7 linked regions of the Sus scrofa genome follow. Each later gene encodes a partner of the first gene's protein in a complex. Links are inferred from orthologs where the notes say so. Each region holds a gene or a part of one and is shown on either strand. Other genes may lie near its edges.

Evidence for each region.
Region 2: GAS8 (region 1) and FBXL13 share a complex: the UniProt entries of both Homo sapiens proteins name them as parts of the nexin-dynein regulatory complex. The link is inferred for Sus scrofa from reciprocal best matches to the Homo sapiens genes DRC4 and FBXL13.
Region 3: GAS8 (region 1) and DRC7 share a complex: the UniProt entries of both Homo sapiens proteins name them as parts of the nexin-dynein regulatory complex. The link is inferred for Sus scrofa from reciprocal best matches to the Homo sapiens genes DRC4 and DRC7.
Region 4: GAS8 (region 1) and IQCG share a complex: the UniProt entries of both Homo sapiens proteins name them as parts of the nexin-dynein regulatory complex. The link is inferred for Sus scrofa from reciprocal best matches to the Homo sapiens genes DRC4 and DRC9.
Region 5: GAS8 (region 1) and IQCD share a complex: the UniProt entries of both Homo sapiens proteins name them as parts of the nexin-dynein regulatory complex. The link is inferred for Sus scrofa from reciprocal best matches to the Homo sapiens genes DRC4 and DRC10.
Region 6: GAS8 (region 1) and DRC1 share a complex: the UniProt entries of both Homo sapiens proteins name them as parts of the nexin-dynein regulatory complex. The link is inferred for Sus scrofa from reciprocal best matches to the Homo sapiens genes DRC4 and DRC1.
Region 7: GAS8 (region 1) and TCTE1 share a complex: the UniProt entries of both Homo sapiens proteins name them as parts of the nexin-dynein regulatory complex. The link is inferred for Sus scrofa from reciprocal best matches to the Homo sapiens genes DRC4 and DRC5.

The regions. Positions count from the first base shown.
Region 1 is NC_010448.4:92,487-95,986, forward strand, and holds part of GAS8 (growth arrest-specific protein 8), read right to left. Parts: intron 2,019-3,500; coding exon 1,809-2,018; intron 59-1,808; coding exon 1-58. UniProt on the Homo sapiens protein: Component of the nexin-dynein regulatory complex (N-DRC), a key regulator of ciliary/flagellar motility which maintains the alignment and integrity of the distal axoneme and regulates microtubule sliding in motile axonemes.
Region 2 is NC_010451.4:102,976,487-102,980,379, forward strand, and holds the end of FBXL13 (F-box/LRR-repeat protein 13), read right to left. Parts: intron 833-3,893; coding exon 643-832; 3' UTR 501-642; downstream 1-500. UniProt on the Homo sapiens protein: Substrate-recognition component of the SCF (SKP1-CUL1-F-box protein)-type E3 ubiquitin ligase complex.
Region 3 is NC_010448.4:19,613,413-19,616,912, forward strand, and holds part of DRC7 (dynein regulatory complex subunit 7), read left to right. Parts: intron 1-158; coding exon 159-317; intron 318-1,276; coding exon 1,277-1,495; intron 1,496-3,500. UniProt on the Homo sapiens protein: Component of the nexin-dynein regulatory complex (N-DRC) a key regulator of ciliary/flagellar motility which maintains the alignment and integrity of the distal axoneme and regulates microtubule sliding in motile axonemes.
Region 4 is NC_010455.5:134,581,623-134,585,122, reverse strand, and holds part of IQCG (IQ domain-containing protein G), read left to right. Parts: 5' UTR 1-21; coding exon 22-29; intron 30-1,041; coding exon 1,042-1,309; intron 1,310-3,500. UniProt on the Homo sapiens protein: Component of the nexin-dynein regulatory complex (N-DRC), a key regulator of ciliary/flagellar motility which maintains the alignment and integrity of the distal axoneme and regulates microtubule sliding in motile axonemes.
Region 5 is NC_010456.5:38,695,647-38,699,894, reverse strand, and holds the start of IQCD (IQ domain-containing protein D), read left to right. Parts: upstream 1-1,448; 5' UTR 1,449-1,638; intron 1,639-4,248. UniProt on the Homo sapiens protein: Component of the nexin-dynein regulatory complex (N-DRC), a key regulator of ciliary/flagellar motility which maintains the alignment and integrity of the distal axoneme and regulates microtubule sliding in motile axonemes.
Region 6 is NC_010445.4:112,583,665-112,587,164, reverse strand, and holds part of DRC1 (dynein regulatory complex protein 1), read left to right. Parts: intron 1-1,293; coding exon 1,294-1,441; 3' UTR 1,442-1,489; intron 1,490-3,001; 3' UTR 3,002-3,145; intron 3,146-3,478; exon of another isoform or gene 3,479-3,500. UniProt on the Homo sapiens protein: Component of the nexin-dynein regulatory complex (N-DRC) a key regulator of ciliary/flagellar motility which maintains the alignment and integrity of the distal axoneme and regulates microtubule sliding in motile axonemes.
Region 7 is NC_010449.5:39,285,527-39,289,637, forward strand, and holds the start of TCTE1 (T-complex-associated testis-expressed protein 1), read right to left. Parts: upstream 2,801-4,111; 5' UTR 2,356-2,800; coding exon 2,079-2,355; intron 765-2,078; coding exon 196-764; intron 1-195. UniProt on the Homo sapiens protein: Component of the nexin-dynein regulatory complex (N-DRC) a key regulator of ciliary/flagellar motility which maintains the alignment and integrity of the distal axoneme and regulates microtubule sliding in motile axonemes.

The sequences.
Region 1 (3,500 bases):
CGCGCGCCAGCTCGTACTGTAAGTCCTGGATGGTGCTGTTCTTCGCCTCCAGGACGTCCTGCGGGGAAGAAGGCAGACAGGGAAGAGCGCCTGGCTCCCCACGCGGGCGTCCACACAGGGGGCAGCTGGCGTGGGAAGGTCCCCAGGACACAGAGCTGCTTTCCGTGAGGAACTGCCCGGTGGAGGGGGGGGCGGCAGCCCGGCCTCCCTCTGGAGCCATCCGGGCTGCCAGCCGCATCCCAGGAAAGCCCTCAAGCCTCTCCTGCCAGGTCCTGGAGCAGCTGCCATAACCACAGGGGACAGGACTGGGTTTTTTTTTTTTTTTTCTTTTTTCTTTTTAGGGCCACATCCATGGCATGTGGAGGTTCCCAGGCTAGGGGTTGAATCAGAGCTACAGCCTCCAGCCCACGCCACAGCCACAGCCACGCAGGATTCAAGCGATGTCTGCGACCTACACCACAAGCTCACGGCAACGCCGGACCCTTAACCCACTGAGTGAAGCCAGGGACAGAACCTGTGTCCTCATGGATACTAGTCGGGGTTGTTAACCATTGAGCCACGACGGAAACTCCGGGGAGCGGTTTTTATCCCTTCATCACGGATGCTGGCGGCACAGGGCCTCGTCCAGCTGCAGGACCGGCTGCCTTTTCCCACAGGAGAGGGCAAAGCCCTTCTCCCCTTTGTGAGCGGCAAGGACAGACATGAGCCCCAGACTCAGACTGTGGTGCTGCCGCCCAGACGAGGCCCCCTCGTGGCTGCAGAAGCCCTGACCCCAAGAGCTTGGCACCCACTGAGCCAGGACCCACCACTGCCCTGGGAGCAAACACCAGCCAGAACCACAGGCGCGACAACGCCTCGGGCCCAGGCCCTCCTCCACCGGCAGCAAGGCCTCGCCCTGCCCCAACCCTGCCCACCTCCCTGTGGCTCTGACCCCATCTGCTTCCCTGGGAAGGAAGAACAGGGACAACAGGGCTGTCCCCCTGGAAGGGTCCGTGTCTGGGACGGGCTGGCCGTCCCGCAGAGGGCCTCTCCCTGGAGACTGTCCACTGCCCAGAGCCAGGCCACGTTTCCCTGGAAGCAACAAAGGCCCCCTGGCCAGCATCACCTGTACTTTCTGTGACACCTCCCACCCAGGTCAGGGAGCGGAGGGGCACGACCCAGCTCCAGGTAAGGTCACTAGCAGGTACGGTCAAGGTTCTGCCTGCTGAGTTGTCTTGACTCTCATCTCATCCACTGGCCCATGGACACCGAGGCCTCTCGGGTCCTTTGACTGCTGTGCCCCGTACCCTGGACGGCCGCGGCAGAGGAACTGCCGTAAATGACTGGACGTGCAGGTGAACAGATGCTCTAGCTGCTGCTCAGACCCATCCCTCTGGGATGCCTTGCCCAGCAGCCACCACAAAGGCACGCCCACAGCCCTGTGTCCCCCACCCAGAGCCTAGACCAGCACATGTTATTGTTCCAGACAGGAGGTGGCAGTGGCCTCAGGTGAGAGCTCAGGAGACGAGGCCATCCAAGAGGCCTGAGAGACCCAGGGCCTGACAGGCTGAGCTGGAGCGGACAGTGTGGACTTGGGCTCAGAGCAGGGGCGGGAAAGAGACAAGGGCAAAGCCACAGAGCCCAGGGATTTGACGGTGCACAGAGGCCTGGGAGCGCGGAAACCGTGAGCCCCTCCACGAGGTTAACGAGAGCCTCAGCTGGGACGAGAGGCTGGACCACAGCGTGGGGCCCCGACCAGAGCCCTACCGGCCCACTGTGGGGGCCCGGGGGTGCTGGCAGCCCTGCCCAGGAGCCCATCTGGGGCCTACCTCCAGCTTGCGGGACACGAGGGTCAGAGCCGAGGGGTCCAGGTTGGAGGCTGCCAGCACCTCACTGAACTGCACCTCCTTCTGCTCCACGGCAGCACTCAGCGCCTGCACCTTGCGCTCCAAGACAAGGTTTTTGAAGCCTGTCTTCTGCTGCACCTCCAGGATGGCGGCGGTGAACTTCCGGTACAGCTCATCCCGCTCCTGCTGCACCTGCAGGACGCACCTCTCACTGGCAAGAAGTCCCCTCCCGCCTCTGCCCCTGGGCCACGACACACTTCTTTCACCAGTGCCAGCCCTGGGCGGGGGGGATCTGTGTCATCTACACTGCCTGAGCCCCACTCACCCTGACAGAATTAAAGGGAGGCAGCTGTCTACACTGTGGGAGGCAGGAGGACACACCTCTGGGGAGCTGTCCCCGGTACAAGCTGGAGGCCAGCGCTGTCCCAGGTCTGCGCCGTGGGCTACACCACGCCCTCCGTCATCCCCACACAAGATCCAGGGCATGTGGGGCAGGGGGCCTCTTAGGGGTCCACGTCCCTGCCAGCCCCAGATCCTGGAACTCAGGTCTAAAGTGAGTACAGGAGCCAACTGCCCATCCATCCAGGCAAGCATCCTTTCATCTCCTTTTAACTGTGCGCCACAAAAAAATCCAGACTGAGGAGCTTAAAACATCAACCCCACCTCCAGAAGCCACCATGGGAGCATCGTTGGTGACTCCTTCTAGAATGTCCTCCACACCTGTAAAAACACATGTGTCTGCTGGGAAGAAAAGAGGACTGTGCTGGAAGCTTGGTGCACCTTATCCTTCTAACTAGGATCAAATCCCCAGGATCTGCTTCATCCAGTCCTGGAGGAAGAGGGAACCGCTATGTTATTCGGGCAGAAACGAACTCAACACTGTAAATCAAAAGCAGTTCAGTAAGACTTAAAAAAACCAGCCAGAAAGGCCATCACTAAAAAGTCTACAGACAATAAGTGCTGGAGAGGGTGTAGAGAAAAGGGAACCCTCTCACACTGTTGGTGGGAATGTAAATTGGTGCAACCACTATGGAAAACAGTATAGAGATTCCACAGAAAACTAAAAATAGAATTATTATTTGATCCAGCAATTCCACTCCTGGGCATTTACTCAGAGACAACCATGACTCAAAAAGATAAACATACTCCAATGTTCACTGCAGGACTATATACAACAGCCAAGACACAGAAACAACCTAAATGTCCATCGACAGAGGCATGGATCAAGAAGATGTGGTGCATATACACAATGGAATATTACTCAGCCCTAAAAAGGAACGGCATTTGCAGCAACATGGATGGACCTAGACATTACCATGCTAAGTGAAGTCAGTCAGACAATGAGACCCCAACATCATATGGTAACATCCGTGGAATCTAAAAAAAGGACACAGGGAACTTCTTTGCAGAACAGATGCGGACTCACAGACGTTGAAAACCTTATGATTTCCAAAGGAGACAGGTTGGGGTGGGGGGTGGGCTGGGGTGGGGATGGCTGCACAGCTATAAACGTGAGAAAATTCACCGAGTTACAAAAAAGAAAATAACCAGTTTAAAAATAAACAAATTTCTTTAAAAAACCAGAAGGTGACACTGACATGCGCATGTACTGCAGACCACAGGCACTCGGGGAGGGTGGCACAGAGCACAGCCCCGGACACACTCTGCCTTCTC
Region 2 (3,893 bases), on another chromosome or scaffold:
CACTGAGCTGGGCCTGCGATTGAACCACATCCTCATGGTTCCTAGTCTGATTCGTTTCCACTGTGCCACAATGGGAACTCCAATAATTCCTATTTCTATTTAATTTCCTCCATTAAGTCAAATGTTGAGATGAGCCCAGGGTTAATTGGCATTTAATTCTGTCCTGTTAAGTATCTGGAAATCACTAAAAAGCCTCATTTCCTTTAAAAAATATTTGTCTATGTCTTTTATAATAAATCCTCACAATCCTTACCTTAAAGTCATTGCCCTGATTTAAACATTTAGTCTGATTTATATGGCTATTTGCTTTCTTTTCTAAAGAGAAGCTTCTAAATTCCTTGTCAAAAATGTACAACTGTACAAATGTACAAATGTAACATTAGACTTGAGAACCTCATCAAAACTATTGGTTTGATTAAGGTAAATTTAAGTGGAAAATTTACATAGTGCAGTACTTAATTTGGCTTTTTTTTAATCATGATTATTAGACAGAAGAACTAATAGATGTATTTAGAAACATTTGTAGCTGGAATAAGAATCTGGAGATGATTTGCTGCTTATTTATATTGTTAAGATCCAGTTAGTAAAAATACTTGCATCAAGTGAAGTTGCCAAGTTCTAGGTTTTTTCCATTCTTCCTGTTTAGGCTGCTACTTCCTCTTCACTGCTGTATGTTGACTCATTCAGGGTCAATTCTGAATCTTTAAGTGGTTTTATATCTTGTTCCTCTGTGAGAGGCTTGCCTTCAAAATCATAGCCAAACCAGTGTGGAGGGTCAGCAGCACTATACTCCTGCTGCTGAACCATAGACAACATTTTCTTAGCTGCCTCCCTGTAATAACAGTGATGAGCATTAGCTAGTTGTAGATGTAATCGCTAGGGCAGAATTCTCAAACTAGATCATATTTGGAGTTAAAGAACTATCACAACTTGAGTTCACATATCTCTTGCCTTCCTGAGGAGGGGAAGGTGTGGGTAATTGTGTTGATGATCAGGATCCTAAAACTTAAGTAGTTCAGTAGTTCTCTGGTTCAGCCAATTCTGAGATGACTAGAAAAGCAAATGGGGAAGGAAACTGTGTGTGGGAACATTGAGTGCACTCTATTGCACTTCTGAGTTAGCTTTCTGCCTGATATTTCCAGTTTCTTTGATGAGGGAATATCCTAACCAGGCAACCTGTGATGGCTGGCTTTGCCCCAGAAGTGGAGTTCTTAACCCAGAGTCCACAAATCCCTTTAGATATGTGGATGAATTTCAGAGAGGCCCATGAACTCCCTGAAGATTCATGCAGTTCTGTATATACTTTGTGTGTGTGTGTGTGTGTGTGTGTGTGTGTGTGTGTGTGACTTTCAGCAAATTCGCAAAGGTGTCCATGACCAAAATGGTTAAGAATACTGTTACTCTATTTCTTTGGAGGAAGGAAGCAAAGAAGGCATCTAAAAGTTGTTTGGGACCCCAATTCCAACATAGCTATAGAGGGTGGTGTTCCCCAAACCACCAAGAAATTCTCAGACACCAGTTGAGCGTCCTACAATTCAGCTCAGTTCTGACATTATCTACCTCGAGAAAGCATTACATTCCACAGATGAAGGGCCTAGTCCCACAAGACCACCCTCCACTTCAGATACCAATGGCAAGTCCAGATTGTCATCTGGGCTTCTGAACTTACCACATAGAGCTGCTCACAAAACTCAGAAACATTTTACTTACTGGATCACTTGTTTATTATAAAAGGATATAACTCAAAAACAACCATCTATGCATAGGGCAAGGTATGGGGAGATGATGCTGAGCTTTATGCTCTCTCCAGACATATCACTCTCCCCAAATTTCTGTGCATTCAATCAATTCAGAAGCTCCCATTTGGGTTTTTATAGAGGCTTCATTACATAGGATGATTGACTAAATCATTGGCTGTAGGTCACTGATTCAAGCTCCAAACCCTCATTTCTCAAAAATCAGAGGATGGGACTTAAAAAGTTCCACCCTTCTATTCATGGTTGATTCTCTAGTCGACCAGCCCCCCCATCTTTAGGTGCTTTCCAAAAATCACTTCTTTAACATAAATTCGGTTGTAGTGGAAAGAGTCTCGTTAGAAATAGGACACTCATTTCACTTTATGGCTCTGAATCACTTTCAGGAGCTGATGATAAGAAACCAAGTATTAAAAGACAAAAAAAAAAAAAAAAAAAAAAAAAAAAAAAGAGTTCCCGTCGTGGCGCAGTGGTTAACGAATCCGAGGAGGAACCATGAGGTTGCGGGTTCCGTCCCTGCCCTTGCTTAGTGGGTTAACGATCCGGCGTTGCCGTGAGCTATGGTGTAGGTTGCAGACACGGCTTGGATCCTGCGTTGCTGTGGCTTTGGCGTAGGCCAGTGGCTACAGCTCTGATTCGACTCCTAGCCTGGGAACCTCCACATGTCTCGGGAGCGGCCCAAGAAATAGCAAAAAGACAAAAAAAAAAAAAAAAAAGAAGAAGAAACCAAATATTATGATAAAAGATCTTTCTACTGTTCTTATCACTTAGGAAATTCCAAGGTTTGGGGGGGGAGCTCTGAGCCAGGAACTGTGCAGGAAGTCCAAATATAAGTGGAAAAATATATTTTGATCATCTGAACAGCCAAATCACATTATTGCAGCATAAAAAAAAAGTATATCTAACTTGAAAATAATGTAATTTCCAAGATAGAAGGATTTTCCTAGGAAGTTGGTTTGGATCTTGAGACTAGTACTAAAAAGGAAATGAGTAATTGGCAACTTCTGTATTATCACAAAGAAGTAATGAGAAGTTCCCTTCATGGTGCAGTGGAAACGAATCCAGCTGGTATCCATGAAGTTGCAGGTTCAATCCCTGGCCTCGCTCAGTGGGTTAAGGATCCGGCATTGCCATTAGCTGTGGTGTAGGTTGCAGATGCAGGTCAGAACTGATGTTTCTGGAGTTCCCGTCGTGGCGCAGTGGTTAACGAATCCGACTAGGAACCATGAGGTTGCGGGTTCGGTCCCTGCCCTTGCTCAGTGGGTTAACGATCCGGCGTTGCCGTGAGCTGTGGTGTAGGTTGCAGACGCGGCTCGGATCCTGCGTTGCTGTGGCTCTGGCGTAGGCCGGTGGCTACAGCTCCGATTCGACCCCTAGCCTGGGAACCTCCATATGCCGCAGGAGCGGCCCAAAAAAGACAAAAAGACAAAAAAAAAAAAAAAAGAACTGATGTTTCTGTGGCTGTGGCATAGGTCAGCAGCTGTAGTTCCAACTGGACCCCTAGCCTGGGAACCTCCATATGCTGCTGGTGAGGCCCTAAAATGCAAAGAAAGGAAGGAAGGAAAGAAGGAAGGAGGGAGGGAAGGAAGAAAGGAAGGAAGGAAGGAAGGAAAGAGAGAGAGAAAGAAAGAAAGAAAGAAAGAAAGAAAGAAAGAAAGAAAGAAAGAAAGAAAGAAAGAAAGAAAGAAAGAAAGAAAGAAAAAGAAAAAAAAAGAAAGAAAGGAGTAATGATGTTTGTCCATAAAGGGGCAACTTTGCCTGCTATGGCTCTGTTACATTGAGTTGTTGGTTGCAAAGGTTTGGAGACCGAGTCCTTAATAGGAGGTTGGTATCATATGCTTTGAGTCAAATTTGGGTTCACCGGTAAGGCAATGAAATCAGAGAAGGCCATGATACATCAGTTGTTTAAAAAACTGTTTCATCTGAATCAAATCCTGGGTGTATTAAAATGTAATCAAACTAAGCAGGGAGACAACAAAAGCATTGCCAATTTTGTCTCTTACCATATTGCTTTTTGGCTAATCTATTTGCACTCACAAAACTTAAGTTTTAAAGAACAATTTGAGCAAAAGCAATTGTTGTACTAATATCTAGTTCTGAGCCACTAGTCCCTGTGGATTAGAACTTGATAAACAGGTG
Region 3 (3,500 bases), about 20 Mb from region 1:
TCACATTTTACAGAAGAGCCCGAGGTTAGGGAAGTGGAAGGGCTTGCCCAGGTTTCAGGTCTGGGGCCGAGGCTCTCCCTGCACTCAGGGCGGGAAGCAGGCTCCAGGGGCCGCTGGCGATTCAGGGCTGCTGATGCTTTTTCTCTGTCTGGTGATAGGCGGTCCAGGAGGAGGAAAAGGCACCACCTAAGAAGTACGCCATCAGACCGCCCAGGGACCTGAGCAGCAGGTTTGAGCAGGAGCAGGAGATGAAGAGGCAGAAGGCGATCCAGGCTGAGGAGGAGCAGCGGCTGAGGCAGGAGGAGGAGCGCCTCATGGTGGGTCCCCCGTCCTCAGCCCTCAGCCCTGGAGCTCAGCTCTGGAGGAGGGGCTGCTAGGAATGGGAAACAGACACAGGTCACCGAGGGACGTGCTGGTGGGCCCCCAGGTTCAAATCCCCTCCTCCATCCTCAACCACCCCCCACCTCTGCTGGGCCATGTGGGAATCCCCAGCCGTGGTCAGCAAGCTGCTCGTGACAGATTTTTAAAGGCAGAGAGCTCAGCTGTCTGGGCAGTTCGTTCTATGCTGCGCAGTTCTGGGGTCCTCCTCATTCCAGCCGCTCAGTGAAGAAACTTAGGTACGCTCTGCATCCATCCTCCCAGCCATCCTCCCATCTCGCTTCCATCCGTCAGTCCTCCCATCTCTCTTTCCATCCATCCATGTTCCCATCTTTCCTTCTGTCCACCCGCACATGCATCCTCCCTCTTACCTTCTTTTCCTTCCTCCCTCTTTCCTTCCATATACTATTTATCGAGGGTCTACCAGGGTCCATGTTGCGGAATGCAACAGAGAACATGGCAGAGTGACCCTTTCCCAGAGGGATGGGGATAAAGAAACCACAGGGTACCTCCTCTCTTTCTTTGGGTGAAATCTCACCCAGAATCACAGCACAGAAAGCCAGTACATCCCAGATACCCTCGAGTTCCAAAAGGCAAGTTTGTAAACCGCAGCTGGAGCCAGATCCTTGCATTCTGTCGGCAAGAAAACAGGCTCAGGAGTTCCTGTCGTGGCGCAGTGGTTAATGAATCCGACTAGGAACCATGAGGTTGGGGTTCGATCCCTGCCCTTGCTCAGGGGGTTAAGGATCCGGTGTTGCTGTGAGCTGTGGTGCAGGTTGCAGACGCGGCTCGGATCCTGCGTTGCTGTGGCTCTGGCGTAGGCCGGGGGCTACAGCTCTGATTAGATCCCTAGCCTGGGAACCCATCTATCTGGCTCATGGTCACCCACCTTTCACAGGAGGAGGAGAGTGCAAAGACCGACCCCCTGCACGGCCTGCGGGTGCACTCCTGGGTGCTGGTGCTGGCGGGGAAACGCGAGGTGCCTGAGAGCTTCTTCATTGACCCGTTCACTGCACGCAGCTACGGCAAGGATGATGACCACTTCCTGGGGATCGAGAGCCTCTGGAACCACAAGAACTACTGGGTCAACATGCAGGACTGTTGGAACTGCTGCAAGGTGCTGGAGGGGGCCTGGGCGGGTGTGGCGGGCACAGTCTGTGGGGAGAGCTGGCTACTAGGCCAGGAGGGCTTCAGACTTTCCCTGTAGCTGAGTGCCCAGGGCCCACTCCTTCCCCCATGTGTAACCACTCCAATGGGGTTATCGTCGCTCCTTTGAATTGTATGTACTTAGGAGTTCCCGTCGTGGCGTGGTGGAAATGAATCCAACTAGGAACCATGAGGTTGCAGGTTTGATCCCTAGCCTCACTCAGTGGGTGAAGGATCTGGTGTTGCCATGAGCTGTAGGTTGAGTGTAGTTTGCAGACGCAGCTCGGACCCGGTGTTGCTGTGGCTGTGGTGTAGACTGCCAGATGTAGCTCCAATTCGACCCCTAGCCTGGGAACCTCCATATGCCGCAGGTGTGGCCCCAAAAGCAAAAAACCAAAAGTCTGAATTATATGTACTTAGAGAATGTAGATTTTTAGCGCATTTACGCTTTTTAAAATGTTGTGTTTAAGTGCTACATATATGCAGAAAAATGCACTCATCCTACATGTCTGGCTCCATGAATTTCCATTTAAAAACTCAGTGCCAGAGTTCCCATTATGGCTCAGTGGGTTAAGGACCTGACATAGTCTCTCTGAGGACATGGGGTCTATTCCTGGCCTCATTCAGTGGGTTAAGGATCTGGTGTTGCTGAAAGCTGTGGCATATGCCATAGAAGCAGCTCTGATCTGGCATTGCTGTGGCTGTGGCATAGCCCTGCAGCTGCAGCTCTGATCTGACCCCTAGCTAGGGAGCCTCCATATGCTGTGGGTGTGGCTGTTTAAAAGAAACACAGGAGTTCCCATTTGTGGCTCAGAGAGTAAAGAATCCCACTAGTACCCATAAGGTTTTGGGTTTAATCCTTGGCCTTGTCCAGTGGGTTTTAGGATCCATTGTTGCCGTGAGCTACAGTGTAGGTTGCAGACTTGGCTCAGACCCATGTGGCTGTGGCTGTGTTGTAGGCCGGAAACTACAGCTCCAATTCAACCCTTTACCTGGGAACTTCCATATGCCATGGGTGTGGCTCCTAAAAGACAGACCAAAAAGAAAAAATCCCACAGTGCCACAAAAAAAAAAAATGCATTGCCACTTATAATTCAAAATACATGCACACATTTGGGGGGAGGTCATAACTGGATCCCAGGGGACTTTCTGGGGGTGGGGACAAGATTCTGTTTCTTGAATCAGGGAATTCTTGAATTCAGGGAATCAGAGTGCACCAATTCATGGAAATTCATTGAGCTGTACACAAATCGAAAGGGAGACAGGCTCCAGGCTCCAAGGTCTGTGCGCTTATTTCCAAGTTCCTCTGTTTCCAAGAGGCCAGTTTTCCAAAGACAGGTGTGGGGCCCTTGGCTCCCAGCGCCAAAATGACCCCATCCAAGGAACTGCTGTTGCCCACATGTGGGAAGCAAGCAGAATGGATGCACCACCTCAGGTGCCTCCATCTTCAGTGACGAAGACATGCCCACCCTCAGCCTCCCTCTGCCACACAAGATGGGCAGACTGCCCTTCCCTGGAGCCCAGCTGGTAGCTGTCGTGGCTGTCAGAGCTCTCTGAAGGATAACAGCCCTTCAGAGGCTGCTGCAGCCCTCCTTTGCCCTCCTCTAGGCGGAAGGGCGGAAGGTCCTTCAGTCTCCCCCAGCACCAGGTGGAGGAAATTCATATCAGGGATAATAGAATTTATAAAGATGGAAGCAGGGCCTGGTGAGAAAGTGAGGCCAGAGGGGTACTGGGTCACCAAGTGAGGGCATGAGAAAGAGATCAGGACACTGGCTGTCACTTTTACTGCCCAATGTTGTGGGAGCGGCTGCTTTGTCCTTCAAAGAACCTTGAAATGGCCTTGGGGATGTGGAGCGTTGCACAGAGAGAGAGCAAGACACCCCAGGCTCCTGGGACAGGGTCGCTGTCCATTCATTTATGCTTTTTCTATAGAAATAGAATGTTAAGTTAAAACAGCACTGTGGCTCAGGGGTAAC
Region 4 (3,500 bases), on another chromosome or scaffold:
AACAAAACTAATTCAAGAAGAATGGAAGAGTATGTTCCAATTTCCAATTTATTATATATATAATAAATAATTATATAATTATATGTAAATATATGTTATACACACACACACATATATTCACGTATAATGCCTTAGGGAGATCTCATAGGTGCAGCCCTAAAAAAAAGCAAAAAAAATGCCTTATGTTAAATATCTGTATTATTTACCTATGGATGTGTAACAAAACTTAGTGACTGAAAGTAAATCATTTATCATTTTATACAGTTTCTGTGGGTCAAGAATTTGGGAGCAGTTTAAGTGGTTGCTTCTGTTTTGGGGTCTCTCAGAATTTGAGGTTGGCCAGGGCTGCAATCATCTATAGACTTGACTGGGTCTAGAGGATCCACCTCCAAGATGGCTCTTTTACAGAGGTGGCAAGTTGATGCTGGCTGTGGGCAAGAAGCTTTAGCTTCTTAGCATCAGGAACCCTTCACAGGACTCCTTATGTGTCCTCATGACAAGGAAAGTGGCTTCCCACACAGCGCTATGAGAAAGTGATGGAGAAGCTTTAATGTCTCAAAATCACCTAGCCTTGGAACCCACAGTATCATTTTAGTTACATAGGTTAGTCCTATTCAATGTGGGGAAGACTAGACAAGGGCAGGAGTACAAGAAAAAAATCATATGGGTCACCTTGGAGACTGGCTGCTGTGTTTCATCTTCCAATAATCGAGACAATTTTGGTTAGTATCTAAAGATGTTGCTAGAAAAAAAGTTTATTTTGGCTCAAGTTCAAATTGATTAAGCATAGTCAGCATAGCCAAATAGCCTGGGCTACATATCTTTATCTTTATTAAATATGAAGTTACTTGCCTTTGGTAGGTGAGAATGTCACTGTGAAGTATTTAGCAGAATCAGATGCAAACTACTTTTGTTCATTATGTTGGTTATATTATATGATAACATGGACTTTGCAGGAGCCAATCTACATGCTGCCTGCGCTTTTAAGTAATTTTTAAACATTTAGCGGCTGAATTATTTTTTCTTTTATTCTTTCTTTAGAGGTCAACAGGAAACCTCAAATCTTCCTCCAGATGTTTGGCACTCTGAGGTGACAGTGTCAGTCACAGGGGAACCACCTACTGCTGCAGAAGAAATTGAAGAAACAGCCAAAGAGACAGCCAGAGAAATCACACCAGAAATCACAAAGCCACTCTCCATTGTAGATGTGCTGAGGATCTCTGCAGTTCTGGAGGACACCATAGACCAGCTCTCCATTCTAAACTATATCATGCCAGTTCAGTATGAAAAAAGACCAAGCAGCAGCATGGTAGATACACTCACTATTACTTAATTTTAGCTTTCCTTTCTTTTTGTTTCCCCATCATTTTCAGTACCTACGCCATTAAGTTTAACTTGGGAAATAACACCTTCATATCAGGTGAAGGGCTACAGTAAATATCTGAGATGCTTACTCTCAATTAATAGAGTGAAACAGACATAGCTTTAGGTGCATTACCAGTCAGAAAATCCATTTCTTCCAATATGTTGGCATTATTCTATTTTTTTTTTTTTGTCATTTTTTGGGCCACTCCTTCGGCATATGGAAGTTCCCAGGCTAGGAATCGCAGCTGTAGCCACCAGCCTATGCCAGAGCCACAGCAACATAGGATCCCAGCCACGTATACAACCTACACCACAGTTCATGGCAACGCTGGATCCCTAACCCACTGAGCAAGGCCAAGGATTGAACCCAAAACCCCATGGTTTCCAGTTGGATTCATTAACCACTGAGCCACGACGGGAACTCCTGTTGGCATTATTCTAAAAGGCCTATAGAGGATTTCCCGTCATGGCTCAGTGGTTAACGAATCTGACTAGGAACCATGACATTGTGAGTTCGATCCCTGGCCTTGCTCAGTGGGTTAAGGATCCGGTGTTGCCGTGAGCTGTAGTGTGGGTCGCAGACACGGCTCGGATCTGGCGTTGCTGTGGCTCTGGCGTAGGCCGGCAGCTACAACTCTGATTAGACCCCTAGACTGGGAACCTCCATAGCTAAATCAGTGTCAATACTATATAATATATATATTGAGGCAATCTGCTAAGTAATTGCATTATCTCCCCTATCTTGTATTTCTCAGATACTAAAAGCTAACTGAAAACTAGGGGGAGGGCCTTTAACTGGACCCTCTCGACATTGCTTTAATCTAAAATGACTTTGTTATTGCTAAACATGTTATAGTATGCTTTTCTGAATATCCAGCCATATCATGGTGTCAGCCATTACATTTTCAATGATGTTCTGGATTCCTCCTCAAAGCACCACTGAGATAAAAAAACTCAACTTGATAGTAAGCAAAATCCTTATAAATTCTTAAAGCTTTTATAAATTTTAATTACTTAGGTTGTAGATGTAAAATAGAGAAATTTATACATACAAACACATATTAAGTTTTAACAAAATTACATTGTATAATTTGCACAGAATATACTCTTATTTCCGATTCTATGATAAATGAAAATTGCTGCAGGCAATTCCTGTTGTGGCTCCATGGTAAGGAACCCGACTAGTATACATGAGGAAGCAAGTTCAATCTCTGGTCTCACTCAGTGCTCTGTGGTGTAGGTCACAGACATGGCTCGGATCTGGCATTGCTGTGGCTGTGGCATAGGCTGGCAGCTGCAGCTCCAATTTGACCCCTAGGGAACCCCTAGGCCATGGGTGCGGCCCTAAAAAGAAAAAAAAAAAAAAAAAAAAAGAAAATAAAATTTCTATGTAAATGAAAGGATAAATTGGTTTTCACATCTAACAGAAAAGATGTCCATATTTATTGTAACTAGCAAATTAAATTTCCCTTTAATTGCTCCTTACAATTTAAAAATTATTATTATTGTTAATATATGTATATTCTGGGTTCATAAAGCTTTTATTAAAGTTTTTAAAGTTTATACAAAATTTCAATAGGACATTAGATTTGGAATCAGGAAACCTTTATGATTTAGTTGTGTACTATGAGCAATTTATTTCACTTTCTTGGTCTTAGTTTTCTCATTCGTAGGTTGTGATGGAGTTTTAACTAAATGATGCATATGGTCCCTTCCAGTGCTAACATTCTATGAGTTTTGGGGTAGTTTTAAAATGTTAGTTAATGGGTATTATAGGAATTTTAAAACAAATTCATTTCCTTTTTAACTTATGGAAAGCAGAGATAGTGGAAATCCAGGAACTAAGCCTTTCAATGTATTGAAAATGTCTAATCCTTAAATTAAGCTAGTTAAGATATAATACAAAATCAACTATAATGGAAAAAATTTTTAAAAAAATAGTACAGAAGAGACTAGTGTTTCCTTCCTATTGTCTCCTTCAGTAAGAATCACAAATAAGAAAGGAAGATACTCAGTTAACAAGATAAAATTGTGGGTTTTTTTGCAACAGGGTTTTTTAAAATTTTTTTATTTTTTTGTCTTTTTAGGGCTGCACCTGCAGCACATGGAGGCTCCCAGGCTAGTGGTCTAATTGG
Region 5 (4,248 bases), on another chromosome or scaffold:
CACCAAGGTTTTTCTTAATTTTATCATCATTATAATAGCTTATTATAACTTATTTTAACTGTATGACTATGTTTATTTTAACTGCATGACTGCTTGCTTGCAATGGATGCATGAGTTCTGCAGCTCTCAGATGAAGTGATTTTTGCCTCTCAGGGGACACTAGCAATGTATGGAGAAATTTTTGATGGTCACAACTAGGGATGGGGGTACTGGTGGGCAGAGGCCAGAGATGCACCAAAACAACCTACAATACACAGCTGAGACCCATCAGAACCTAGAAATATGTAGCTCGAAAGGTGAATAGTGCTGCTGTTAAGGAATAAAGCTAATGTCTCCATTTCACAGGTGAGGAAACTAAGGCTTAGATGGGAAGTGATAGAGCCCAGATTTAAACCCAGGCAGTTTGAATTCTGGGACCTTCTCTGCTTAACCATTACCCTTCATCTCTTACCAGACCAGTTCCCTCATCCGAATTCGAGCCCATCATTTCACAGAGAGGGAAAAGTGAGGCCCACAGGAGAGAAGGGACTTGCCTGTGGTCACAGTGCAGGACTCCTGAGTCCTATCCCAGCGCTCCTGCGGGCTTTGCTACCCACTCTACCGAGTACCCAGAAGGGAAGGGTCACCCCTAGGACAGGTCCCAGGGAAAGAGGGCCAGCAGCCATCCCGCCATCTAGGAGTCTCTAGAGGGGTGGGTAGCCTGAGGGCGCCTGGGAAACGAGCAGATAAGGGAGGAGGGGAGCGAAGAGGAGTGCGAGCTCCTGCTCCACGTGCGCAGCCTTGCGACCCCTCTCCCCTTCCCGGGCTTTCCCCTGCTATACCCATGCGGGGGCCCCCAGACCAGGGCTGGAGGGAGAGAAGCCCATCGATGACTTCCCCACAGCCCTTCTGGGCCCGCCTGCCCGCCTCCCACATCCCTATGCCCAGCCGCAACCCCGCACTACGAGCCCCTTGACCCCTGACCCCTGCCCTTTCCCTCAGGCCACCCTTCGCACCCCTTGGATTCTTACACGCGCCGCCCCGGCAACCCGGACCGCGCGCCGGGGTCCGCACTGCGCAGCCCAGCCCGCCGGCGCCGCCGCCAAAGCCCCAAGCCCGGAGCTGTTGCAGCTGCAGCAGCCGCCGCAGCCACCGCCACTTCAGCCGCCGCCACCACAGCAGCTGCGCCAGCTCTCCCATCCACCGCCTACTGTCCTCTCCACCCCCGCCGGCCCCGCCCCATTCCCCGTTTGCTGCGGCCTATTGGCTATCAAGCTGTCATGGTGCGCTCTGACTGGTCAAGCCTCAAGTCCTTCGCAAGTTCTTGCCCTCTGTTAATGCAGAACTCTCTGCCCGCCTCCTCGAGGAGAGGCGGGACGAAGAAACTCCGCCTCTTTCCACTACCCATTCTCCCCTCCTTACTCATTGAGTCCAACCCGGAGGGTTCGGGCCTTCCAATTGGTGGAGGGTTAGAGAGGTTGTGGTTCTGATTGGTCAGTCCAAAGGAGGTGGAGCGAACTGAGCGGAATAAGGAATGGAATGGCGAAAAGGAAAGTCAATCAGACTCCGAGTCCCGCCTTCTGAGGTTGGCGAGTAACCTAGCAACGCAGGCACCTAAGTGGTAATCACTTAGTAGAAAAACTGAAGCCCTTGGAGCAGGTGAGTGACCCCGTGGGGAAGGGCTGGATTTGATGAGGGGGGGGGAATGTCGAATGGAGCTCTCTATCCTTTGGTTTTCTTAGGAATCAGTAGTCCCCCACCGGCGAACCTGTCCCCGCCTCAGGACCCTGCTCTCCAGCACTGGCCCCAGTCTGGATCTCCACTTGTCCACTTCATGGTCCCACTTCCTCATCCGTAAAACGTGGATGATACTAGTCAAGTGGAGTCAAATCAAGTTTAATTACTTTCAAGTCAGACACAGGTGCTAAGGGTCAGAGAGTGGTTTATGAGTCCTCTTACTTTCCACTCAACGGCTGTACATCCCAGGGTGAGCATGCAATGAAAGTGAATGTTTAGATAATTTTGATTATACCAAGTCTATGCTAACTTTAGAACTTCACTCCCGGCTGGGTACCTAATATATGATTTTATTTACATACTTAAGACAAAGGGTTTGTTGTGAGAATTAACCAAGGTAGAAAGTAAAACAGAGGTTTAATGGGGGCTAGAGGAATGGGGAAGCAAGAAGTTATTATTTTTGAAGTTATTATTTAATGAGTATAGAGTTTCAGTTTGGAATGATGAAAAATTCTGGAGGTGGATGGTGGTGATGGATGCATATAGATGTGAATGTAATAACCTCATGCCACTGAATTTAAAATGGTCACAATGGACCCCCTTGCTGTACAGTGGGAAAATAAAAAATATATATATTTAAAAAAAATAAAATAAAATGGTCACAATGGTAAACTTTATGTTATGTATATTTTACCACAATGATAATTTTTAAAAGCAGCTATAGGACTTCCCTTATGGCTCAGCAGCTTAAGGATCCAGTGTTGTCACTGCAGCAGCTCGGGTTGCTGCTATGGCATGGGTTTTATCGCTAGCCTGGGAACTTCCACATGCCACTGCTGGGTACTGCCAGAAAAAAAAAAAAGAAAAGAAACAGCTGTAAAGCTGGATAAAACTATCTAGTGCTATTTTAAAACTCTGCAAATCAACCAAAGGCATACAGCAAACTGAGAGCTTTTATTCATAAAACTACTGAACTTCAAGTTTGTGCTGTACTTATGTAAGACTTCTCTGATTTCCCAACCCCCAGTTCTATTGGCATAATAATTCAACCAGGGCAAGTAGCCCTGGAAAACGAATAGTTTCACTGTCACTGTCTGATGGGGCTCCCTTGATCTGGAGGATTGCAGGCTAAACTGGCAATCTTGGTGGGAAGAGAACAGGGGAGGCCAGCAGCTCTAGCAGTCCAAGGTTGTAGTCCTATTTATTGCAAACAATAGGCTGAGAAAGCTCAGAGTTCTGGGGAATAAGACAGCCATAGAGGGCTTGATGAACTTTCTCTATATCCTGGTTGAGTAGAGGTTATGCACAGGTGTAGCAGAGACCAGAGCTAGCCCAAACCACTTAGACATCCCTGGCCTTTGGAGCCTTATAGAAGTACATGCTAAGTGTGTGCTGCCCTTGTCAGTGAAGAATAGAAGCCTTACTGGCTCAAAGTTTGAGCACACCTCTAACTGATTTTTGGCCAGATATTAAACTATGTGGATGCCAAGGCGACCCCAAGGAAGCCAGGCTTAAAAATAAAAAATATGGAGATGTTCCCATTGTTGCTCAGCAGGTTACACCCAACTAGTATCCATGAGGATGTGGGTTTGATCCCTGGCCTCACTCAGTGGGTTAAGCATCCAGCCTTGCTGTGAGCTGTGATGTAGTCTGCAGACTCAGCTTGGATCCCAAGTTGCTATGGCTGTGCCTAGCCTGGCAGCTGCAGCTCTGACTGGACCTCTAGCCTGGGAACTTCCGTAAGCCAGGTGCAGCCCTAAAAATGAAAACACACACACACATATATGGAAAAAAAAAATAAGCAGAAACATCAGTGGCTGCACATTGTGGAGGAGACCAACTTGACAAATTGAATCCAGGAAATAATTACGAAACACCCAAGTGAAACAAAAATGAGAAAAACAACCATTAGCAAGAAAAAAATACAGAGTTTCTCCAAATAAATAATCTTCCCTCTTAAATTTCTAGTGTTCCATAAAAATTGTGAGATGTGTGTAAACATACTCAGGGGGAAAAAAGCAATCAACAGACACTGTCTCTTGGTGTCCCCAGATGTTGGCTTTAGCAGACAAAGACTTCAAAGAAGCTATTATAAATTTGTTCAAAGAGCTACAGGAAACCATGTTTAAATAATTAAAAGAGGGTTTGATAACAGTGACTCATCACATCAAACAGAAAATATTTAGCATTCCAAAGTAGATTACAATAAATTGAGATGCACATTATAATCCCTAAATCAGTCACTAAGAAAAAACTCTAAAATATTTTTAAAAATCAACAGAGAAATCAGAAGTGTGAACTAAAAATACTTATTGAACGCAATAAAGGGCATTAAAGAAAAAGCATGGAGGAGTTCCCGTCGTGGCACAGTGGTTAACGAATCCGACTAGGAACCATGAGGTTGCAGGTTCGGTCCCTGCCCTTCCTCAGTGGGTTAACGATCCGGCGTTGCCGTGAGCTGTGGTGTAGGTTGCAGACGCGGTTCGGATCCCGAGTTGCTGCGGCTCTGGCATAGGCCGGTGGCTACAGCTC
Region 6 (3,500 bases), on another chromosome or scaffold:
CACCAAGTTCCAAACATTTGATCTGTAACACTTTCCTGCAAAGCTGGGCTCATTTTTAATGTCTATCTTAACATGTGTGTGTGTGCGTGTGTGTCTTTTAGGGCCACACCCACAGCATATGGAGATTCCCAGGCTAGGGGTCTATTCGGAGCTGTAGCCACCGACCTATGCCACAGCCACAGCACTGCCAGATCCTTAACCCACTGAGTGAGGCCAGGGATCGAACCCGCGTCCTCAGGGATGCTAGTCGGGTTCATTAACTGCTGAGCCACGACGGGAACTCTTTAATGTCTATCTTGGTTGTAATTAATTGGCTATGCTGAGGAAGTCATCCTGTTAAAAATGTTCTACAGTGTTAATTAAAAAATTGGAAACTTGGAATTCCCACTGTGGCACAGTGGCTTAAGAATCTGACTGCAGCATCTCTGGTTGCTGTGGAGGCACAGGTTTGAGCCCCAGCCTGGTGCAGTGGGTTAAAGGATGCGGTGTTTCCACGGCTGTGGCTCCGATGCCATCGCTGGCCCGTGAACTTGCATATGCCATGGGTGCGGCTGAAAAAGGAAAACAAACAAGCAAACAAATAAATATTGGTTTGCCTGTAAGAAATAAACTCGCGGAACCTCGATGCTGGAGGAGGAGGATTTTTTTTTTTAATTTAGAAATTAAAATTGAATTTGTATTATGAGTGGAGATATTTATACCATGTAAGCTTTATGAATATTAAGAAAATGAACACCTGTGAACTGGATTTAGGAAGAGAACATTATCATGGTTTTAAAGCCCCTACCTGCCTCTGCCTGGTCCTGACTTCCTTTGCCCTCTCGCTTTCTCCTCACTATTTCTTTCCTTGTGTAAATATCTCCTTCTGTATCTTTTCTTTCTGTCTGTCTGTCTGTCTGTCTTTTTAGGGCTGCACCCACGGTGTATGGAGGTTCCCAGGCTAGGGGTCCAATTGGTGCTGCAGCCACCAGCCACAGGCACAGAAACACCAGATCTGAGCCACATCTCTGACCTGCACCACAGCTCAAGGCAATGCCGGATCCTTAATCCACTGAGCGAGGCCAGGGGTCGAACCCCGGGCCTCATGGATCCTAGTCGGATTTGTTTTCGCTGGGCCACAATGGGAACTCCTCCCTCTGCATCTTTTCTGTAACTTCTATAACTTTTTGTAAACTTTTCTCCATTTTTTCTCCTTCTGTCTGTCTGCACACACTCTTGCTTGTGTGCCCCCCACCCACGGCTACCCTGTACGTCTCTCCAGATCCGCCCCTGGCATCTGTGCCTTCCCTACAGGAGCAAACAAGCCTGGTATCAGCCCTGGAGCCTGAGGAACTGCTGGACCACGGCGGAGGGGAGGGAAGCCTCGTGGAGGGAAGCCTCGGGAAGGAGAGCCACCAGAGAAGGAGCCCCCCCGTTCTCCCGTGCTCATCCACCCCAATGATGTCCTCAAGATTCTGGAGGCCTTTGTCATGGGTCTGAGGAAGCCCAGGTGGGCTGCAGGGCTGGAAGACTCAGCCCGGGAACTGGGGAAGCTGGAGGGGATGGGGGCCAGCCGGTGCCGGGGAGGGAAGAAGAGGCTGCTGAGCCCAAACTTGGGGGATTGAGTACAGGGACGTCCAGAAGGAGGGTGAGAGGAATCCATGGACATTACAGGGAAGGAAAGGAGTGTAGAATCGATTTGCATGTGTTCATTCGTCATCCATTCATTCAGCAAACATCTGCTGGGGTCTGCTGTGTGTGTGCGTAGTCCTATGGGGATGACACCTTGTGATCGGAACAGTGGTCAAAGCATATACAGGGTGTCAAGTTGCTCAAAGGGAAGTGGTCACCTCCACTGGTGACCAGAGGTGGTCAGAGAGGGTCTTGGGAGGAGATGGCACCTGCAGTGTTTGCTTCAGTGGACAAGGTGGGGGGAGTGCATTTCAGGGTGTCACAGCACAGGGAAAGGTCTCGTTCAAGAACCTCTGGCTCAGCAGGTTAAGAACCTGACATAGTATCTGTGAGGACGCAGGTTCGATCCCTGGCCTCGCTCACTGAGTTAAGGATCCAATGTTGCCGCAAGCTTTGGCATTAGGAATAAAGAAGAAAATTCATATGGAAGAGCCCTGTAAGCTGTGAAGCCAGCACTGGCTTTGGCACTGCCTCTAAAGGCGGCCTGACAAGCAGCTGGTGCCAAAAACCATGGACAGGAGTTCCCATTATGGTTCAGTGAGTTAAGCATCTGACAGAGTGTCTGGGAGGTTGTGGGTTCGATCCCTGACCCTGCTCGGTGGGCTAAGGATCCAGCGTTGCCGTGAGCTGTGGTGTAGGTGGCAGACTCAGTGTGGATCCTGTGTGGCTGTGGCTGTGGCTGTGGCGTTAGCCTGCAACTGTAGCTCTGATTCGTGCCCTAGCCTGGGAACTTCCATATGCCACGGGTGCAGCTTGGGTCAAATGAGCAAGGCCAGATCTTGAGAGCCTGGCCCAAATTGCCCAAGATCTTGGTCTTTATCTGTTGGTGAACCAGAGCCAGAAAGAGATCTCAAGCCTTGAGGGAGCAGTGAGCAGACTTGCATTTTAGAAAGATGACTTGGGTGGTGGGGAGGGAGGGGCTGTTGCTGGACACAAGGAGAGCAGTGGGAAGGTTTGTCCCCGTGGGCGGGGAGAGCCTGGATGCAGGCCATCCTAGAGGGGAAGCGGAGGAGAAAACACATTTCGAAGGCTGTTGTGGCTGCATTCGTGGAAGAAATGGGCAGAGCAATGAGCTACAAAGCCAGCGAGGAAAATCGATTGAGAGAAAGAGGTTGCAGGAAACTCCAGTGATGCTTTCACAAAGGTGACAAGGGCACCAAGAATCAGGAACATTGATGACAGCAGGTGTTCTTTCTGAGACTCTTCAGGATCTGATGAACTTGCAGAGCGGAGCGGGAAGGCGGCAGGTGGAAAATCAATCTGTCCGTGGGGGGGCGGGCGCCGCGTCGGGCGCGCTGGAGAGGATGGCACCTGCGCTCTTGCCTTTCAGGGACTTTCGGGCACCAGCAAAGCTGCTGAAGGGTGTGCGCGATGCCTCAGAGGACTCGGAGTACTGGAGGGCGCTGACCACGGTTATCCCTGCTGCCACGCTGAGCCTCTGGGACGTTCTGTACACAGCCTTGGAGAAGTACCAGTGAGTGTGCACTTGCGGCCCAGGGGGAGGAGGGAGCCTGCAGTAGGTGGAAGGGAGAAAAGAGAAAAGCTTCTTGGAGAGAAAAGCTGCCTTTGCAGCTCCTGCTGGGGGTATGTAGTGTTGCGTGTAGGGTTGTCCTCTGGCTCTGCCTGCCCTGTTCGGTTCCCCCCAAGCCTGGCTGTTCCGGGCTTCAGGGCAGGTGTGCTGCTCTAGTGGGCGAGGCTCCTGGGGTCCCCTCCCACCTCCGACCAGAGTAGAAGCGTGGAGATCCTGGCCCCTGCTTGGTAGAGGATGGAGAGTCAATGGGCCTCTAAGCAATTTTTCTGCCCAAAGCCTCGTCCTGACCCAGAGGGCT
Region 7 (4,111 bases), on another chromosome or scaffold:
AACCAGCAAGGCAATGCTTTGCGCATCTCTGCATCCCCAGGACCTGGCTTGGTGCAGGGTGCACAAAAGGAGGCTTGGTCAATGAGTGAGAAGGAAATAGAAGGAAGATGGGGATGGAAGAGGAGGAAGGAAGGGGAGAAGGAGTCAGAGAGATGCTGGAATGGGAGGTGGAGGGACACTGGGGACAGGTGGTACCTTGAGGGTGTGGCACGCCTTGATGGTAGCCGCCAAGGAGTGACAGTCACGGTAGGTGAAGAGGAACAGGTTCCACTCGAAGTTCATGCCACAGTCCTTGACACCGTACACTAGGTCCAGCTCCTCCAGATGGTCCAGGCCAGCCACCAGGTCCCTCAGCTGGTAGTGGTCCATGGCGGGCTCCTCCATCTCTCCCTCACTGCCAGAGTCTGACTGATCCCCGCCATGGGGCGGGGACGGGAGCTGCACGGGTGGAAGGAACTGGTCCACCCGGATGGTGCGGACATAGTTCCTGCAGAGCGGCAGCAGGCTGAGGATCACCTCGGGGTCCGTGGTGCTGGGGATGAAGTGCTTCAGCAGGTTCTCCAGGTGCAGCTCAAAGAACATGCGCTTCCAGCTGCCGCCGTGCTCGTCCACGTGGCACACGGGCCAGCGCTGCATGCAGCAGCGGCGCCAGTAGTTCTCGTCGTCAATAAGGTTGGCAGTCACAGCCAGTGGCAGGTCAGGGGGCAGGTGGCTCAGGACCTTCTTCTGATGCTCTGGGAGCAGCTGCTTCAGGATAGGGTTGTCTTTGGGAACAGAAGCAGGGAAAGTAGGACTCACAGTGTGGGGGATGCTGCACATGGTGCCCTGGCCTGGGCCTGTCTGGATACCTGGACCTGTCTTCAGGGAGCCTTAGCCTAAGAGGGGAGGCAGCCTTTACTCTCATGGGAGCTCCGTCTGAGGGAGATACTGCCCCTAACTCTGGGGTGTTCCTGTTTGAAGGGGGACATCTTAGCATCTGGTCTCAGGGAACTCCCAGTCTGAGGCAGAATCACAGGTCCACCCCTCAGTTATTCCTTAATCTGGTAGAGGAGACAATCCTTGACTCAGAAGCTCCCAATTTGATTTGACTCATTCATTATAAAACAAACAAGGTTTTCTTTGTCTTTTTAGGGCTGCATCCACGGCATACAGGAAGACTCCCAAACAAGTTTTTTTGAGCACCCACTATGTACCACAAGCTTCTCTAGGTGCTGAGGATACACAAGTGAGCAAAACAGGAGTTCCTGTCGTGGTGCAGCGGAAACGAATCCAACTAGGAACCATGAGGTTGTATGTTTGATCCCTGGCCTCCCTCAGTGGGTTAAGGATCCGATCCAATGTTACCCTGAGCTGTGGTGTAGGTTGCAGATGCGGCTCAGATCTGATGTTGCTGTGGCTCTGGTGTAGACCGGCGGCAACAGCTCTGATTAGAACCCTAGCCTGGGAACCTCCATATGCCATGGGTGCAGCCCTAGAAGGATAAAAGACAAAAAAAAAAAAAAAAAGAGTGAACCAAACAGAGGAAGCCACTCCATCTTATGGACAGAGGCAGACAGTAAACGAGTCACATGAATGTACTATAGGTCTGGTGGTGAGAGATGCTGTAAGCAAAATGATGGCTCTGTCCTCAGAGAGCTTTCTACCCAGTAGGAGAGGCTGGCAACTGATCTTTGAGAGCGATGAACAGAGGCTAGAGTACAGAACAAACCCAGAACCTAAGGATGCTGTGGAAGACTCCAAGAAAGTGGAGGATGGTCAACCAGGGAGGGCTTTCTGGAGGAGGAGGTAGATATGGTTCGGGCTGGGCTTTGTCAGGGAGAGTGGGAAAGGTGAGGAGGGGCCAGAGACATGGAGGGCATGGTGTGTGTGTGTTGGGGGCTGCTGGAAGGGGACAGGAGGAGAAGCTGTCCTGGTCTCCAGGGCGGGGGGAAGGGAAGTGTTGAGTGGGAATGAGGACGCTGCGTGGGAGAGCAAGGGCTGCCTGAGGACCCAGCTGTGAGGCCTCGCCGGCGGCAGTCCAGCCTACCCTACCCCACTCCTGGCCTTCTCTCTTTCACCCCAGGCAGGACCAGACTCACTCTGAAAGTTCTTGACAATGTGCTGAATGCAGAGCTCTGTGAGAAGGGGCACGATGGCCAGTGACCATTCGGTATCCTCAGCGATAATCCTGCGCATCCGATGTACACCAGCCCCAGAACTCGGGCCCTTGGGCTTCACCGGGGGTGCGATGGTTGGGGGCTTTGAGGGCTGTGGGCCTGTGCTTGAAGCTTGGCCGGTGGTGGAGGATCGGTCCTGGGTGGAGGTTGAGGACCGGCTGGGGATGGACAATGAGGGTGTTGTCTGGGTTTCCTGCATGCTGGGGACTGGCAACACAGGGACAGGTGGTCCCTTGGTGATGGCCTTGTGACCGGGAGTTTCTCAGACAGGCTGGTCCTTGATGCTGGTGGGAACCTGGAGCAGGAGGAGTTGGGTTGTTACTTTGGAGGCATTTACCAAGAGATGTAGTACAAGGTGGTTCTTAAGGATCAGTCTCCGGATTAGAGTAGATCCAAGTATAAATCCCACTAGCTGGGTGGCCTTGGGCCAGTTGCTGAAACTTGTTGAGTTTCAGATGCCTCCTCTGTGAAGTAAGGACAACAGTTACTGATAAGATGATTGGGAGGAATGAATAAAATAATGCATCCATAGAGGCATAATATATACTGTGACACATGAGATTATAGCAAGCAGCAGCCCCAGAGTTTAGACAATAATAGTGACACGGCAATTACAAGAAACTGCTGGAGTTCCTGTCATGGCTCAGTGGTTAACGAATCTGACTAGGAACCTTGAGGTTGCAGGTTCGATCCCTGGCCTTGCTCAGTGGGTTAGGCATCCGGCGTTGCTGTGAGCTGTGGTGTAGGTTGAAGATGCACCTCAGATCCTGTGTTGCTGTGGCTGTGGTGTAGGCCAGCGGCTACAGCTCCGATTTGACCCCTAGCCTGGGAACCTCCATATGCCACAGGAGCGGCCCAAGAAATATCAAAAAGACAAAAAAAAAACCAACAAAAAACAGAAACTGCTGTATGCTGGACACTCTTTTTAGTTTTTTTTTTTATGCATATCAGCTCATTTGATGCTCATAAAAGCCTTTTTGAGATAGGCACTCATATTAGTCCCATTTTTCTGATGTGAAAGTGAAGTACAGAGAGGTTAATTACTTGTCCAATGTCACACAGCTTGTAAATAACAAGGATGGATTTAAACTCAGTCTATCAAGTTTGGCCAAGTGACCCAAGTATGAAAAAGAACTATTTAGTTCAAAACCCTCCCTACACCAAGTATTTTATAGAACTGCGACTGCCTGACCAGGAGGAAGGGATTGAGAACAGCACTGGACAATAGATGTATAACAGATGCCAAAACTCAAGCCACATATACTATTTAAAAATGCCTTTGAAAAAAAAAGGCGGGAGTTCCCATTGTGGCTCAGCAGAGCCGAATCCGACCAGGGTCCATGAGGTTGTGGGTTTGATCCCTGGCCTTGATTATTGGGTTAAGGATCCGGTGTTGCCATGAGCTGTGGTGTAGGTTGCAGTCTTGGCTTGGATCTGACATTGCTGTGGCCGTGGTATAGGCCGGTGGCTACAGCTCTTAATTCAACCCCTAGCCTGGGAACTTCCACATGCTGTGGGTGCGGCCCTAAAAAAAGCAAAAAAAAAAAAGGTCTTTGGAATTTCCACTGTGGTTCAACGTTAACAAACCCAACTAGTATCCTTGAGGAAGCAGGTTTGATCCTTGTCCTCTCTCAGGAGCTGTGAGCTGTGGTGTAGGTCACAGATGATGCTTGAATCTGGCATTGCTGTGGCTGTGGCATAGAGCAGCAGCTGCAGCTCTGATTTGATTCCTAGCCTGGGAACTTCCATATGCCGTCGGTGCGGCCTTAAAAAAAAGGAAAAAAAAATGTCTTGTACATACATTTAAAAAGTAGAGAAAACAAGTGAATTTTATATTTAATCCAATATGTCCAAAATATCATTTACATATGTAATCAACATAAAAATTATTAATGAAATATTATACATACATATATTTTAATACTAAGGCTTCAGAATCTGATGGCTAGTGGCTA